Linked DNA regions of Rhinolophus ferrumequinum. The protein of the gene in region 2 interacts with the protein of the main gene of each other region in a pairwise test. Links are inferred from orthologs where the notes say so. Each region holds a gene or a part of one and is shown on either strand. Other genes may lie near its edges.

The links.
Region 1: the proteins of TMEM79 (region 2) and SFTPC interact in binary tests that used the Homo sapiens proteins (3 or more experiments, as listed by UniProt). The two-hybrid records come from large-scale screens. The link is inferred for Rhinolophus ferrumequinum from reciprocal best matches to the Homo sapiens genes TMEM79 and SFTPC.

The regions. Positions count from the first base shown.
Region 1 is NC_046301.1:44,266,975-44,274,843, forward strand, and holds the start of SFTPC (pulmonary surfactant-associated protein C), read right to left. Parts: upstream 3,024-7,869; 5' UTR 2,995-3,023; coding exon 2,842-2,994; intron 2,660-2,841; exon of another isoform or gene 2,571-2,659; coding exon of another isoform or gene 2,529-2,570; intron 1,836-2,528; coding exon 1,677-1,835; intron 1,326-1,676; coding exon 1,203-1,325; intron 959-1,202; coding exon 848-958; intron 448-847; coding exon 310-447; 3' UTR 300-309; intron 95-299; 3' UTR 1-94. UniProt on the Homo sapiens protein: Pulmonary surfactant associated proteins promote alveolar stability by lowering the surface tension at the air-liquid interface in the peripheral air spaces.
Region 2 is NC_046305.1:816,649-823,729, forward strand, and holds the start of TMEM79 (transmembrane protein 79), read left to right. Parts: upstream 1-4,045; 5' UTR 4,046-4,162; intron 4,163-4,951; 5' UTR 4,952-4,994; coding exon 4,995-5,745; intron 5,746-6,003; coding exon 6,004-6,217; intron 6,218-7,081. Other genes in the region: nonsense-mediated mRNA decay factor SMG5, read right to left, coding at 2,632-2,705.

The sequences.
Region 1 (7,869 bases), on a different chromosome or scaffold from region 2:
CCTGTAGTGTGTGTGGCAGGAGCAGCTCCCTGCCTGTCTGCAAAAGACCTTTTGCTCATGGATCTTTCCTGTCCCCTTGGGGCTTCCGCATGCCCTGCAAAGCAAAGAAACACTGTATTATGTGAGGGAGAGGGACTGGTGGTGGGGTCGGGGGGCTTGTCTGTGAACCTGCCCTCCCTTGAGCTCCCTGGGTGATCGGCCTCAATGGATTCCCGTTCCAGGTCAACTGACAAGACAAGGTGGCCCAAGCCCTCTTGGGCCACTGCTACTCCCGTGCCCTGGAGGTCACACCTGCTCACCTGAAGGATCCTAGATGTAGTAGAGGGGCACCTCACCACACAGGGTGTTCACGGTGTTGCCTAGGAAGTCCAGGTCCCCATTGGATGCTGAGCCAGTGTCATGGCCTTTCTCCTGGCTCAGCTTAGCGGGAGGCACTTCAGGCTTCACCTGGAAAGTACACCTTATTTGGTGCCTGGGAGCTGAGTTTCACCTGTGGCCCTCGTTGTGGGACCTCAGGCATGTGAAGCAATCTCTCTGAGCCTCAGTTTCCTCACCAGTAAAGAGGGGTCTGTGCTGGAGTCAGAAGCCCCTATGTGTGGTGTGGGCTAAATTGAGGCCAGCAGCTTGGAGGTGGGGTGGTGGGGCGGGTCTGGGGAATGGGTAGGGAAGGTGTAGAGCAGGTGAGTCTGGAGAGGGACCCTTCCCTGGCAGCCCCAGAGGAACAGCACTTTACAGGGTCAGAACTTGACAACGTGCTCCCAACTCCTTGTGCCACACACAGGCGTTCCTAGAAGTCCCAGCAGCCTCGGGAGAGAGACAACCCATTCCTTCTCGCCCTCACACCCACCTGGAAGTTCTGGAATTTCCTAGTGAGAGCCTCAAGACTGGGGATGGCCTCCGGAGCCATCTTCATGATGTAGCAGTAGGTTCCTGGTGCCGGCTTGTAGGCAATCAAGAGCTGGGCATAGGAGCCCCAGAGGTAATTAGGGAATGAGCTAGGCCCTGTCCTGGGCCTTCTCCCTCTAGGTTGGGCACAGGAGGGAGTTATATTGGAATTTGGGGCTCAGGCACCCCCAGGGGGTGCAAAAGCACTGGAGTATGGGGAAAGATGGGTGTGTATGACGTAGCACAGCTGGGTGGATCTAGCAAAGTCCTGTCATGGGTCCCCTGGGGCCAGGGTCAAGAGGTCCAGGCACACTCACCCGCTGGTAGTCATACACTACAATGCCAGTGGAGCCAATGGAGAAGGTGGCAGTGGTGCCCACACGCTCACTCAGAGCCAGGCGTTGCTGAGCTTCCGGCCCCGCAATGCTCATCTCCAGGACCTGGGGGAGGGCACGGCGCGGCCTGGCATTCCTCTTTCCCCACTTGTCCCTTCAGTACTCATGCCCACTCTCAATCCCCTATACTCAAATGCAATTCCTTCTTCCCTGAGAGCTCAGAGAGGCTGAGTAGAACCAGGTGCTGGAAGGAACAGGCTGTCCCCAGGTGGGGTAGGGGTGAGGGGAAAGCCCAGGCCAGGTTGGCCACCCTGCTTCTGCCTCTGTCCTTCCACGAGGTGCCCCTTGCCTCCTCCTCTCATTCCTCTTGGACAGTTTGCTGCCTACCCAGCCCCCCAAGCCAATCTGTCTGGCATGCCCTGTACTTCCTGCCCACTTCCTCCCAGGCCTGCTTACCATCTCAGTATGTTTCTGGCTCATGTGAAGACCCATGAGCAGGGCCCCTACAATCACCACGACGACCAGGACCACCACAACGACCACGATGAGAAGGCGTTTGAGGTGCACAGGGCAGCAGGGGATGCCCAGCCGGCCCCGGGGGGCTGCTGAGTAGTCCTGATGTGGTGGGGTGGGGAGGAGACAGTTATGAAGTCATGAGGACACCCCTTCTCCCTGCACTAGCTGGACACCCTCTCACGCCCTCCCAGGGCTGAGCAACCTATGCTATGGTCGTGCAGAGGAAGGATGAGGAGATCAGAGGAGGAGGTGGCCTGGATTCCAGCAAACCAACAGATGCTTAGAAGTGAGGTCTGGCTTGGAGAGACCCGAGACAGCCTATTTCACTAATGATATTTCCCGCTGTTTCCTCCAGACCCCTGGTACCTCCGCCACGCCCACTCCCTCTCTGTTCCCCAAACAATTCATGCTCTCTCACACCTCTGTGCCTTTATACCTACCGCCCTTCTTTCTGAGTGCCTTCCTCCTTCTCCACTTGGGGAGCTCCTGCTTATTCTCCTGGAGTCAGCTCGAATGTCATTTTCTCTGTGGTTCTTCCTATGACTGTCCAAGCAGTGGTTTCCTACTCAGTGCCCTCTACAGCCCTTTCCACTGACCTCTGTGGTGCCATTCAGCCACTCATATTAGAATCATCGGCTGCCATGTCTATCTCCCCCAAGGACTCTGTCATAGTGATCGGTGTCCCTGCTCTAACTTAGCACAATCCTAGGTCGGTTAAGCGAATAAATTTGATGGGGAAATAAGCCCAGAGAGGCCCACCACACACACGCACACACACATGTTCACACTCACCGGTGGGCTCTCCATCAAGACTTCTTTGCTGCCCACATCCATCTTGCTGCAGGCACCTTCCCCTCCTCGTCTCCTACGTCTCCTATGTGTGAGACTGGGGTTTTATATGTGCCAGGAGGGAGAGGGGACAGAGGTGAAGGGCCCAGCAACCATCTGCCAGCCAAGCCCTCAGCTTTGAAGCCTGTTTGTTCCTGGCCCTCCAGAACCACGGCCCTGATAAGGCAGCTGCAAGAGCACCTAAGGGCCCTTGCTCTGGCACGTGAGTCCTCTTAGCCCTGGCGAAAGCAAAGCTGGGTGAGTTGAGCAAACTTACCCTTGGGCAATCTGCACCTCTCACCGTGGGTATCTTCCTGGCATGGCCACTTTTCTTGCTGGCACCTGTCCTTGCAGTCCTGTGGCTTTCCCTGTTCTTCCAGGCTGTACCTCTCAGGCAGCCAAGGGTCTGGCCCAGTGGGAAGTCCATCATATTTCCTACAGGATTAACCCGAGCATAGGGATACGCTTCAGGAATGGGAGTGAGGAAGCAGTGTCTGTGGCCCCAGATCGTGCACTGCTGAAGGCATCAGTATGGAGGTTCATAAATCATTCATAAGTTCTCTGGGAGCATTCAGATTTTGACCTCAAGTACTCTACTTGCTGTCTACCACATTTCCTTACCTAACCTCAGACATGCCCCCAGCTATTCTTTTCCAAATTCTGAAAACTCTGTCCCCTCCAGTTACAAATTCTTACTAACATGAGGTTTTCCATTCTTTGCTATGGGCTTGTTTGTTTTGTTTTTTTCCTGCTTTTATTTTATTTGCATTTATTTGATGCTGAATTTATTCCCAGGCCAACGTTTTTGTTTCTTCCGTTTCTTCTCCTCTGTGCAACCTCCTCTTCTGGTTTAGGAACAATCTGCTTTTCTCCAGTAAAGATCATCCCACTGTGGCAGGGGGAACTCATGTAGGGGTTCATCCCCCAAGAGTTCTATAAGTTCTGTACCTCATCTTGGGAGCTTTGTTCACCTGGGGGGTTCATCCCCCAAGAGTTCTATAAGTTCTGTACCTCATCTCGGGAGCTTTGTTCACCCGGATGTGCTCCATGACCAGAAAAATCTACATCTAAACCCTCAGCATTCCTCACTACATTTCTAAGCATGTGCAACAGAAGTTCTGCACTCTTTTTGGGCCACCGACCCTGCATCCAACCCCACTGTTTGACCTGGGCACACCTACCAACTCCACCATTGTGACGACAGAATGGCGCATACGGCTGTCAAGTGACATCCTTTAGATACTTGGTGGCTTTTCGGACATACATACCCTTGATGGCCTGGGCAGTTTCATGAGTGTTTTTTAAAATAAACACAAAGACTTGAGCCTCTTGATTTGCGTGACTTTGTGGGGTGTTCTGCGTCAAGTGAATGGCAAACCATTTTCAGAGCTCAAACTGAAGACGTTTGATTGCAGATTCCACACCTGACACTTCTTTCTTCTGTCCAGAAAGCCTTGCACCGGGCTGGGTGTGGTGACTGATGGGCTCCCAATCTCTTCACCCCTGAATCAGCGCACTTCCTTGGTGCTGCCATCACCCTTCCCTTCTGCACTCTTCCTTTGACATCCTCTGATCCTAAATTTGCCTGGAGAACACTACTTGCCCAAATGGGATCCACTCTGTGGACCTTCTCCTCCCCTCTATCTCTTTCCTCCTCCTTCCCAAAGCCATCGCTGTTGCTTCGTTGTGCTAAACAAGCCTACTGATGGCTGTATCCTTTCTCTCAGGTTCCCCTCTGCTTGCTGGGACAGGTGTGCTCTGTGGCACCTTTAACTCTAAACTTTCCCAAGTGTGTAAATCAGAGCCCCACACCTCGCTCTTCTCTTGGCCTCCCTCTAGTATCTTCCTTATACCGTAACTCCAACACTTCATCCCAATTCCTGTCCCTTGCCCAGGGGCTCCCTCGCACCTTGGCCTTGCCCTTCAATCCTGAGCAGACCCCCAACTCTTCAGCCCTGGCAGGTTCCCCTGTCCCCACAACAACCCCCTCTCCAGCTGGAGGGCCTTCAGCCTCCAGATTGCACAACAGCATGGCATCTGAGCTGAGAGCCCCTGAGAAGATTGGAGAAGGAGAGAAGGAAGGAAATGTTTGCTCCCACCACCCACCTCACTGCCCCACCCCCAACGGCCCCTTTAAATATTTGCCTAAGCCTCTAGCAGCCAGTGTCCTAGGAGGAGTGAAACAGGGGGAGAGGGGTTCATGGAGGAGGGGGAAGCGGCCTCCTCTCAGTGTGCAGCCTCAGCTGTGTGCAGGTGCCAGAGGCAGAAGACAGCCCCCAGAGCCCCCACTCCCACCCCCAGTTGTCCTGGCAACACTGGGATTGATCGCTGACTCACACATACTGGGCCTGCGCCAGGTGGGCAGCAGGCCAGCGGGAGGGCCAAGGATAACTGCAAGCATCAGGAGGTCCCTGTGGGCATCTCGGGGACTGCCTAGTCCAGCTGAGGAGCTTGTTCTGAACAGGTGCTGTTGGCCGGGCTTGCCATCATCACAGGGTGTGGGAAAGGGGGCTCTTTCTGGGAGAGAAGCCTCGGTCCTCTCCGGTCCTCAGTCTCCCCTGCAGGCTGCCCTTAGGCTGTGCTTCTCATAAGCTTTACAGTTCTTCCTTTCCTTTCCTTTCCTTTTCCTTCCTTCCTTCCTTCCTCTCGTTTTTGCCTGTTTGGAAGTTGGGAAGGAAGGATGCCCTCCAGTTTCGTAAGGGAAGTTCAGATGCTGCCAGCAACCTGGTAGAGATCTTGGGAAATGTGGAGAAGGAAGGAGGGAGGGCGCTTTAGCTGGTCCTGCATAGCTGTCCCTTTGCTCCTCACACTAGCCCTCTACTGCAGGCTTCTCTCTTCTTGTCCTTTACTTAGGCCGGTTTTCCCTTCTGGAAAGCCCACCCTCAACACCTCTCCACCTCTCTGAATACCACCCACCCTAAAAGGCCAAACAAGAACCAATAGCACCTACTCTGTGACCTTACCGCCCCAGCCTACAGGGTCCCATCCCTCCTCCAAAATCTCCCAGCCTCCCTGACACATGTTTACCTGCCACTTAACACTCCCTGATGGTCTCATCAGCTATGTGGGTGCTTTTTGTTGCCTTACCTACTCAACCTAGCTGCCAGCCATGAGACTGGCCCTGGGATCAAGCTTTCCTGAGGATTCTTTGTACCTGCCCCAGAGCAAGGAGCCTGCACGCACCCAACGTGTAATTATAGTCAACGATAAGGCTATCCCCACACATGTGGGGGCTCGTTGACAAACGGTCAATAGTTCATTCCTTCAGTATGTGGAGGACTCGGTGATTCACTGGCCTGCTCTGGGACCCTGAATGAGACATCCTATCTTTCTAGGCTTTAGAGTACTCATCTGTGAAATGGGACTAATACTGTCTGCCTGTCCCCAGCTCCAGGCTGTTGTGAGAATCCAATGACATCATGATGTGAAAGTCCATGATTATCACTATTTACTTCAACTCCCAGGGCAGGTCTTACTAGAGAAGGACCCTACTAAGAGTAGGACCCCGCCTCCCCCTTTCTGTCTGTCTCTGGGTTAAAGCCTCTGAGAACTGTGGCCGTGGAAAGCCCCACAATAGCCCCTCCTTCTATGTGTGTCTTCCCTGTTTCTCCTTCCAGCCCCTCAGCTGCAGGGGCGGGACAGGATTCACTCTGCCCTTTGTGTCCTGGGCAGAGCCGTGCCAGGGACGAGTGGAGATGGTTGCCCAGCTGCCCCAGCCACCGTCCCCACCCCCATTGCTTATCTTCCCACGAGCTGGCATGGGGAAGGCAGCACGGGAAGCTGGATGCATCAAAGGGCCAGGGCATCCCTGTCTGGCAGAACATGGACTTAAGTTCAGACCAAAGAATCCCCTGCTGGCTGATGCTGGGGTCAGCTGGGAAAGCATCTTAAACCCGGTGATCTCGATTTCCTGGACTGATGTGTAAAGAGCACCAGACTGGGAGCCCAATCACCTGACTTCTAGGCTCCCCTTGTTCTGTACCTGGCAGCTCTTGGGACAGTCACCCCCTCACACACACACACACACACACACACACACACACACACACCATACACCCACACCCCAGGGAGGTAACATGGCATAGAGCAGCAATTCTCAAACTTTTTGGTTTCAGGGTCCTTTAACTCTCTTAAAAAGTATTGAGGACCCCAAAGAGCTTTTGTTTATGTGGGTTATATCTATTATTTACTGAGAAATTAAAAAAATATTTATTCATGCGTTAAAATAGCAATAATAAACCCATTACATAACATAAATAACATAAAGTTTAAGTGAAATCATTTTACAAAGCAAAAAAAATTAGAGAGAAGAATGTTATTGTTTTACATTTTTACAAATTTCTTTCATTTCTCGCTTAATAGAAAAAAATTCCAGGGTACTTTGTGAGAGCATGAAAGTGAAAAGGGCAATAATGTCTTTAATAGGAAAATTGTTTTGACCTCAAAGAGTCCCTGAAAGGTTCTCAAGGACCCCTGGGCTGCTTGGGCCACACTGAAAACCCCGGGTGTGGAAGAACAACTGTTAAGCCTGGAATTGGGCAGAGTGGATTTAAACCTCCGCTCTGTCACTTTTTTCCCCCTGGTACTATAAGTCTTACTTTTCTGTAAAACGAGATCAATATCATCTGCCTCAAAAGGTGGACAGGAGTAAGTAAGTAGAGTCCACAACACATAGTAGGTGTGATATCAAGCTTGGCTACTTTCCTCTTGGTTCTGGCCTCAGTTTCCTCATTTCTTAAACACAGGGCTGGACTGGGAAACTTCCAAGGCCCTTCCCAGCTCCAACAGGCTGTGGTTGTGCCAGAGAAATGTTCCAGAATTCCACACATTCCCACGCCGGCTTCAGTGATGACATTCCCCTTTTCCGCTCACACAGACACAATGGCACATTATGTTCATGAGCTGTGGAAACAAATGTGAGTGCAGATACACACCTGTCACTTACAACATGCCCATGAATCTGCTTAGAGGACGTGTCCCTGAGGGCAAGGCATGCACACGGGGACACCGAGGCACACACGTAGATCCCTAGTGCAGAAATGCCTCACAAGGGGATCTGTTCACGGGCCTGCAGAGACAGGTGTGCACGCTGTCCTGCCATCTAGGACGCACATGTATATCTCGCACACATGCACAGACGCTCTGGATGCCAGACACAAGCAGATGGCCCAGAGACCTCCGGTAGGGCATGCAGCATAGGGCGGCCAGGGCCGCAACCACTCCCTTCGTTGGCTACTCCCAGCCCGGGACTCCCCCCACCGCCCTGCGCGCCCCCGCGGCCGCCTCCGCAGTCCGCAGCCATCCC
Region 2 (7,081 bases):
TCCAGGGCAAAATAGCTATCTGACTTCCTTATGCCTCAGTTCTTCCATCTATAAAATGGGAATAACATTATCACCTATTTTGTGGGGATTAAAGTGGCTAATGCAGAAAGCACTCATGACAGTGGTCCATACATAGCAAGTGCCCAGTAAGTCTGACCTTCACCCTTCTTGTTATAAGGCTGCGGAGGAGACACCAGACGCTAAGTGAAAAGGCCAAGGAAATTCGGTGGATGGCTAAGACGTTCCAGAGGGAGGTGTCATCTCTGGAAGGGTAAAACCCAGAAGGTGACAGACAGCAGCTGTGACAACAGGGGAATCAGGCACAGCTCTGGACACAAAAGCAACCGGTACTCAGGGAGTGATAATTCTGAGAACAGTCCGGATCGTTCCAGAAGACTGAAACGTGCTGCTGGACTGAGGAAAGTGGGCCATAGCAGGCGGGCGCCCTGTGGGGGCTCAGGGCGTACAGTACTAAAAGCTGCCCTATACAGGGCAGAATGACAGTGAGTGAGATGGTAATCAGGCCTTGTCACAAGCAGTCCTGAGAGCTCAGCCTTTCTCCAACCACGCTGGGCTGCCCAGAGGTGGGAGCCAAGCCCTGTAGCCAGCCTGACCCTGGATGCCAGGGGCACAGGCAGTCGTCAGGGATTTACTCTATGCCAGCTTAGTCCCCAGGGCAGGGCTTTTAACTTCAGTGCCCTAGACAGATGTGGGCGGGTGTGTGTGTGTGTTTATGGACAGGCTCTAGAGTGCTCCCTCCATTCTAAAGGTTAATAACCACTACGCTGGGAAGTTCTAACTGAAAATTCTTAAACCTGCGAGGACGCAGCACTGTTTGCTCCATTCCCCATCAGACCATAAGCTCCTCCACTCGACTGTAATTTCCTGTAGAACAAAACCCACAAAAACTGTCTTGTGTCTCATTCACTACTGTACTCCCAGGCCTAGAACAGTGTCAAAAAAGAAAAATGTTTTTAAAAACTAGTTCGTTGGCCTAATTAATTGGTGCTTGTGTCCCTTTCAGCATCCTTTCTCCAGCTGCCTGCCTTCTGAGGGGCTGAAAACGTTTCAGAATTTCATTTCTGTAAGCCGTTAGATTGTGAGAAAGTCCCAAATTTACTGAAGCTCACAGTGACAATTCCAGTCTCACAACACACACTTATGTGGGGCAGAGAAACAAGACCTCCCTCCCCCAGTTCCTTCTCCACCCACCCTTGCTACAATAAATTATAAAAACAGAGACCCGCCGCCTCCAGTTCCCACGCTGCTCAAAGCTGACAACACACGACTGCAGGCAGACTTCCACGAGCACACAGGTCAGCCACACATCGGCTTAAGCCAATCAGTCCTGTGCAGGTAGTGGCTTGAGAAAATACTAGATTTGAGAATGATCGGGATGACCAGAGCCTTTACCAAAGCTGGAGACAAGTAAGGCGTCTTGCAGACACTGCCCACGCTCTGTCTGACAGGCAGCTCTGACACACGTGCCACCTGGGGGCAGCCCACAGTGGGAGCCCAGGGGCTGCGGGACTGGATCACTTTTCTATTTTGGGAGCAGCCCACGCTCCCCTCTGTCTCCGAAGCCGAGCAGGCAGGATGCCCACTCAGGAGGAAAAGACAACATGCTCTTGACTCTTTCACTGCCAAGACAGGGCCCAGGGCTCCGAAGGTCCATCTCTCGTGCAAACCCTTCTATTCAACAGAGCCTGAGCCAAAGGAAAACCGCAATCCCTACTCCCTACCAGAAAGGAGAAAACCCAACTGGAGTCTCTATGCTTCATTCTATGTCCATCCAGTTCTAGAGCCCAGGTTCCAGCTGCCGAACACAAAATATCCTTGACCCAGGGTGGGAAGAACTCATCCTGGCCGGTTCCCAACACAGGACTGAAGGGCTACAGACGCCGCGGAGCGTGAGAGGCACTGCGGAAATCAGAAACCAAGACTGGAGGTTGCCTGGCAAAGGACTGGAGTCATGAGGCTGGGGCGCCGGCAGGAGTCAGGAGTCCCCAGGTGCCCTGAAACGGGCTCCCGTGAACCAAGGACACTGGACTCCAAGTCCTTCTGGGCCCTTTCAGTCCAACAGTCTTCCAGCCTCTTTCCTTTCATTCAGAATCCCAAAAATGTGAGCCATAAGGGACCTCAGGACGTATCACATCCAAATTTCTCCTTTTAAGGACGAGGACGCTCAGGCCCAAGGTCACACCGTGAGACGCGGCAAGGCGAGGACCTAACCTGGCTCTCCCGATTTCGGTCCTGCGGGGTTCTCAGGGCTCATCCCTTCCGGGTTCTCCTCCATCTCGGACTCCACCCTCACCTCCCCCACCCCTGCAGCCCTCAAGTCCCCCCCACCTTTGCTGACCCCAAAACCGCAAAGCTCGGTGCCCGCCCCAAGTTCACCGCTGTGGGGATCCCTCCCTCCACGTGCTTCCTTCCCAACCTCCCACCCACCCAACCTCTTCTTTCAGCTCCGTCCCGGGTTAGGGGGCCCCCCACCCGCTCCCTCCAAAACTGCACCCTCCTCCCTCGCCCGCGCCCCAGCCCGGCGCCCGGGCCCCGCCCGCCTGGAGGCCCCGCCCCTCGCTGTCCCCCCACTTCCCTCCGCGACTGCACTCACGCCCCGGCCCCTCTCACCGGTAAAGCCGCTTGGTGTGGAGGACCTTTGCTTCGGGCTCGCTGCTCTCCCCTGGGGGGGGGCCTTGGCTCATGGTGCCCGGGCCCGGGGGCGGCTTCCGGTCACAGGCCCCCGCCACCCACCGCTACCTCCACCACTGCCGTCTCCGGCCGTAGCCGCAGCCGCCACCGCTGCCGGCCCTGCTCGGCCGCCATCGCTGAGGCGGCTGCCCGCGACTCCTCCTCCGCCTGCCAAATCTCGCGATAGCAGCTGCACAGCTGCGGGCCAGTGGCCGGCGGCTACCAAATCTCGCGAAACTCGTTTTCCCTCCCGGGAAGTTGCCAGAACTAACTCTGGGCAGCATGGCCTCTTTCCGGCTTCTTCAAGCCCTTGCGAAAAACTTTATTGACAAAGCTGCTCGAGAACGGACAGTGGACCCAGCCAGAAGGGGGAAGCTAAGCTCAGTGGGGCAAATGGGCTCACGCTAGAGCTGGGAGCGGATTTTGCGTTGTCCTACGGTGGTCATTTATAATCCACCCTTCTGCCCCTTCACCTCCCCTCACTCCATTTGAGTCGAGTCTCTTTCAGATTATGGTCAGAATTTTTTAGGAAAAAAATGTCACAAAGCTCAAATGCCTTTAGTGGTGAGGTCCCACAGGAACGAGAAGTCCCTCTCTCACTCATGTTTCTGCCCCCGGGTCGACCCATTGAAAAGATCACCTTGGATTCCTATTGCTCTCTTGACCTTAAACCTAAGGTAAAAAGCAAGGTATTTGGGGGTGGGGGACTGTGTACGCGTTGAAATGGGAACATAAATACCCCCTCCGCCACTGTGCCGCTGGTTCCAGCCACCGCCCTTCTTTCTGTTCCTGAAACTGCCAGTCTTTCTCACTCATTGGCCTTTCACTTGCTGTTCCACTGCCTGCAACACTCCCACTCCTCATTTCCCTTCAGGTCTCAGCTCAAAAGGCACCTTGGCAGAAAGGTTTTCCCTGTTGAAATTGTCTCATTTATTGAGTCGCTAGGCTTCTTTATTATCTGTGACCCCAAGAGAACGGGCTCCGCAAGGGCCGAGCCTTTGCCTGTTATCTTGTTGTCTCTGGAGTCTGTGCCTAGAACAGTGCCTGGCTAATAACAGGTGCTCAGTAAATGTGAATAAATAAGTGTAGAAATTCCATCTCTTTTCTGGGTATTCCAACCTACTCCAAGCACCCTGTGATGCACAAACCCCATGGTCCCCCTCTGTTTTCGTGAGCCAGGAGCCCTTACACATGCCATTTGCCTAGAACACACGCTTACTTCTATGCCCAGCTGCACCCCCACTTTCAGAAAGGATGACAGGCGACCTCTAAGGCTTTTTCTGTCGGCAGATTCAGCAGGGCGGGGCCTGCCCCTTTAAGCTGGGCCCCACCTGCTCCGGTCAGACTGGTTTGGAAACACAGGTAAAGGGAGGGAGACCAGAGGGTTACTTGCAGAGCCAGCAGGGAGCTGGGCAGCTCCTTCCCAGACACTGTGGGGACTGGGGACCCTGCGTCTCTCTCCAGATGGAAAGTAAGAGGGTGTCATGGGCCAAAATGGCAAGGGGTAGGAAGCCATTGTGGAGGTGGAGGGAGGGGCTGAGCCCCATCAAGAAGCAGAGAGACGGAGAACGGAGGGGACGGCAGGGAGGGGAGAGACCGGCGAGGAGGCATGGGGAACAGCCATGGTAGGACCTAGAAGTCAGAATGGACAGACGCAGGCCCTCTGCAGATGGATGAGGTGGGCTAGTGAGGAGTTTGGCAACTGCCCATGTCCCCAGACTAGAGACGAAAGAACAGGGTGCACTGCTATGCCAGTTCCCTGGGACAGATTTGTTGGCAAATCACTGGGATCAGTTACCAGGAGGGTTCCAAGCAGGGATCTGCAGGGAAGGCGAGGTTTGAAGGTGAAGGGGCAGCTTCTCTGTCCGCAAGGAGGTCCTTAGTGGGAAGGCAGCTCTTGGCAAAATTCTAGGCACCTCCTGTCCCTCCCTTTCCTGCATGAAGGTGGCCATGACCCCAGGGGTTTTGGTGGAGGGGAGCAGAAGGCGTGGGTGGGGACTGGCTGAGGCCACAACTGCCAAGACCTATGCCCCCTGACTCACCCGCTCCTGCTGGCTGGCGTTTGATGTCAGAAGGGTGCCTCCATTTCAGCTGCTCACGTCTCTCCTTCCTCACTCTGTTTCAACACCTTCCTGCATGCCATGTTCTCCCCAAGGTCCCAGAAGGGGAGTGCCAACTGCCCTGGAGAGTTCGGTTCTGTCAACCCATCCTAAGGGCCAGAGGACGGAACTTCTGACAGAGCTTTCCTGTTAATCTCTAGGGTGACATGACCTCACGGTAGACCCCAGAACTGAGGTCCCAGGATGACAGAGCCCGAACACCTGGCCCTGCTGGAAGTGAAGGGGCCAGAGGCCCAGGAGAAGAGCTCACCCCAAGCCTTGGTCCCCAATGGCCGGCAGCCAGAAGGGGAAAGTGGGGCCGAGTCCCCCAGCGCTGAGCCCTCCAGCGTGGGATCTTCAGCTGGGTCTCCCACAGCTGGAGAGGGGACAAAGGATGGTCTGGACAGCACAGTGAGCGAGGCTGCCACCTTGCCCTGGGGGACTGGCCCCCAGGCCACTGCCCCATTCCCGGACCCCCCCGGCTGGCGGGACATGGGGCCTGAGCTCCTGGAGTCGGAGCCGCCTGGCAAACCAGAGGAGCTGTGTGACGATGACGTGGACCTGCTGCCCGAGAAGGCGCCACGGGCCTTTGTGCCCATCGACCTGCAGTGCATCGAGCGGCGGCCCCAGGAGGACCTTGCTGTGCGCTGTGAGGCCGGTGAGGCAGAGCGCCGCCGGACCTTCCTGCCCACCCGAGCCACCCCTCCTGAGCCCTCAGAGCGCAAGTGGGCCGAGGCCGTGGTGAGGCCACCCGGCCGCTCCTGTGGGGGCTGCGGGGGCCACGAGGGGCTGAGGGCTGTGGCCTCCGTGGCAGCCGCCCTGGTCCTCTTCCCCTGCCTGCTGTACGGGGCGTACGCCTTCCTGCCCTTCGATGCCCCTCGGCTGCCCACCATGAGTTCCCGCCTCGTCTACACGCTGCGCTGCGGGGTCTTCGCCACCTTCCCCATCGTGCTGGGTGAGCCTGGGCCCTGTGAGAAGGAAGGGGCATCTGGGAGCTGGACTCGAGGGCAGGGCCTGCCTGGCTGGGGAGCAGAAGTTTCCCTTTACTGAGGCTGGACCCTCGGGGCCTTGCGCGCTCTGCCACCCTGTGTGCCTGCCCCTCCCAGGACCCCAAGCCCCACTGTGGAGACCCATGCCCATGAGCTCTCCACCATGCGCCCTGCCCCCGCTTCCTGCCTCGTGCTCTCTGACCCTGCATCTCCATCCCTGCCAGGCCTCCTTGTGTACGGGCTGAGTCTGCTGTGCTTTTCCGCCCTGCGGCCCTTTGGGGAGCCCCGGCGGGAGGTAGAGATCCACCGGCAGTACGTGGCCCAGTCGGTCCAGCTCTTCATCCTCTACTTCTTCAACCTGGCCGTGCTTTCCACCTACCTGCCCCAAGACACCCTCAAACTGCTCCCTCTGCTCACTGGCCTCTTCGCCATCTCCCGGTGAGCTGCGGCTGGGGGTGGGGCACAGGGGAGGTAATGGCGCTAGAGGGACCCAGGTGAGTGAATGTGCAGAGAGCCCGGGTCGCGGGGTCCGGGAGCTGTCTGGATCCTGCGCTGGCCCAAATGTGCGCCCTGGAAAGGTGAGTCCACTTTCTCCCTTGCACCTTACCTCACCTGGTAGCAGGTGATCAGCTCAAACGTCTTCCCACAGGAAGCCGATTTCGGAGACTCATATACCATCTAGAACTGGAAGGGCTTCCAGGTGTCATTGCAGCCACCCACCGGTGACACTCTGGTCAGGTAGCCGTTGGCCTCTAGTTGGACACCCCCTGTGACCAAGGGCTCAGTTCTTTATCTGGCAGTCTGTTTCGTTTTTCAAAGGTCCTCGTTATTAGGAAGTTCTTTGTGTTGTGCTAAAGACTGCTGCCCTGACCCTGATCTCTGGAATTGCCTAGGACAAATTCGGATATTTGACAACAGCTCTGTTCCCCTACTCCAGCACCCTGCTCCCCGTGTTTACTTTGCTAAGTGGCCCTGACCCCTTCACCGTCTTTCTCTATGGGCAGGAAATTCTCCTGCTGGTCAAATGGGGTGAGGGTGGGGGGCTGGTGAAAGGTATTGGTCTTCGGCTCATACAAACCAAGGCCACGTTAGCTCTCACGGCAGCCTCATTACTCTCCTTTCATTTCGAATTTAGTCCCATGAAATCCTTAGGGGTGTTTCCATGGGAACTACTGTTAACCCAGAAGACACCTTTGAATTTCTGAAGCCAAATAAACACAGGTCTTTCCATTTTTGCCCCTAATACATTTCCTTTTGTCACTATCAATATACAATTCCCGGTAGCTTTAACTGCTAAGAAAG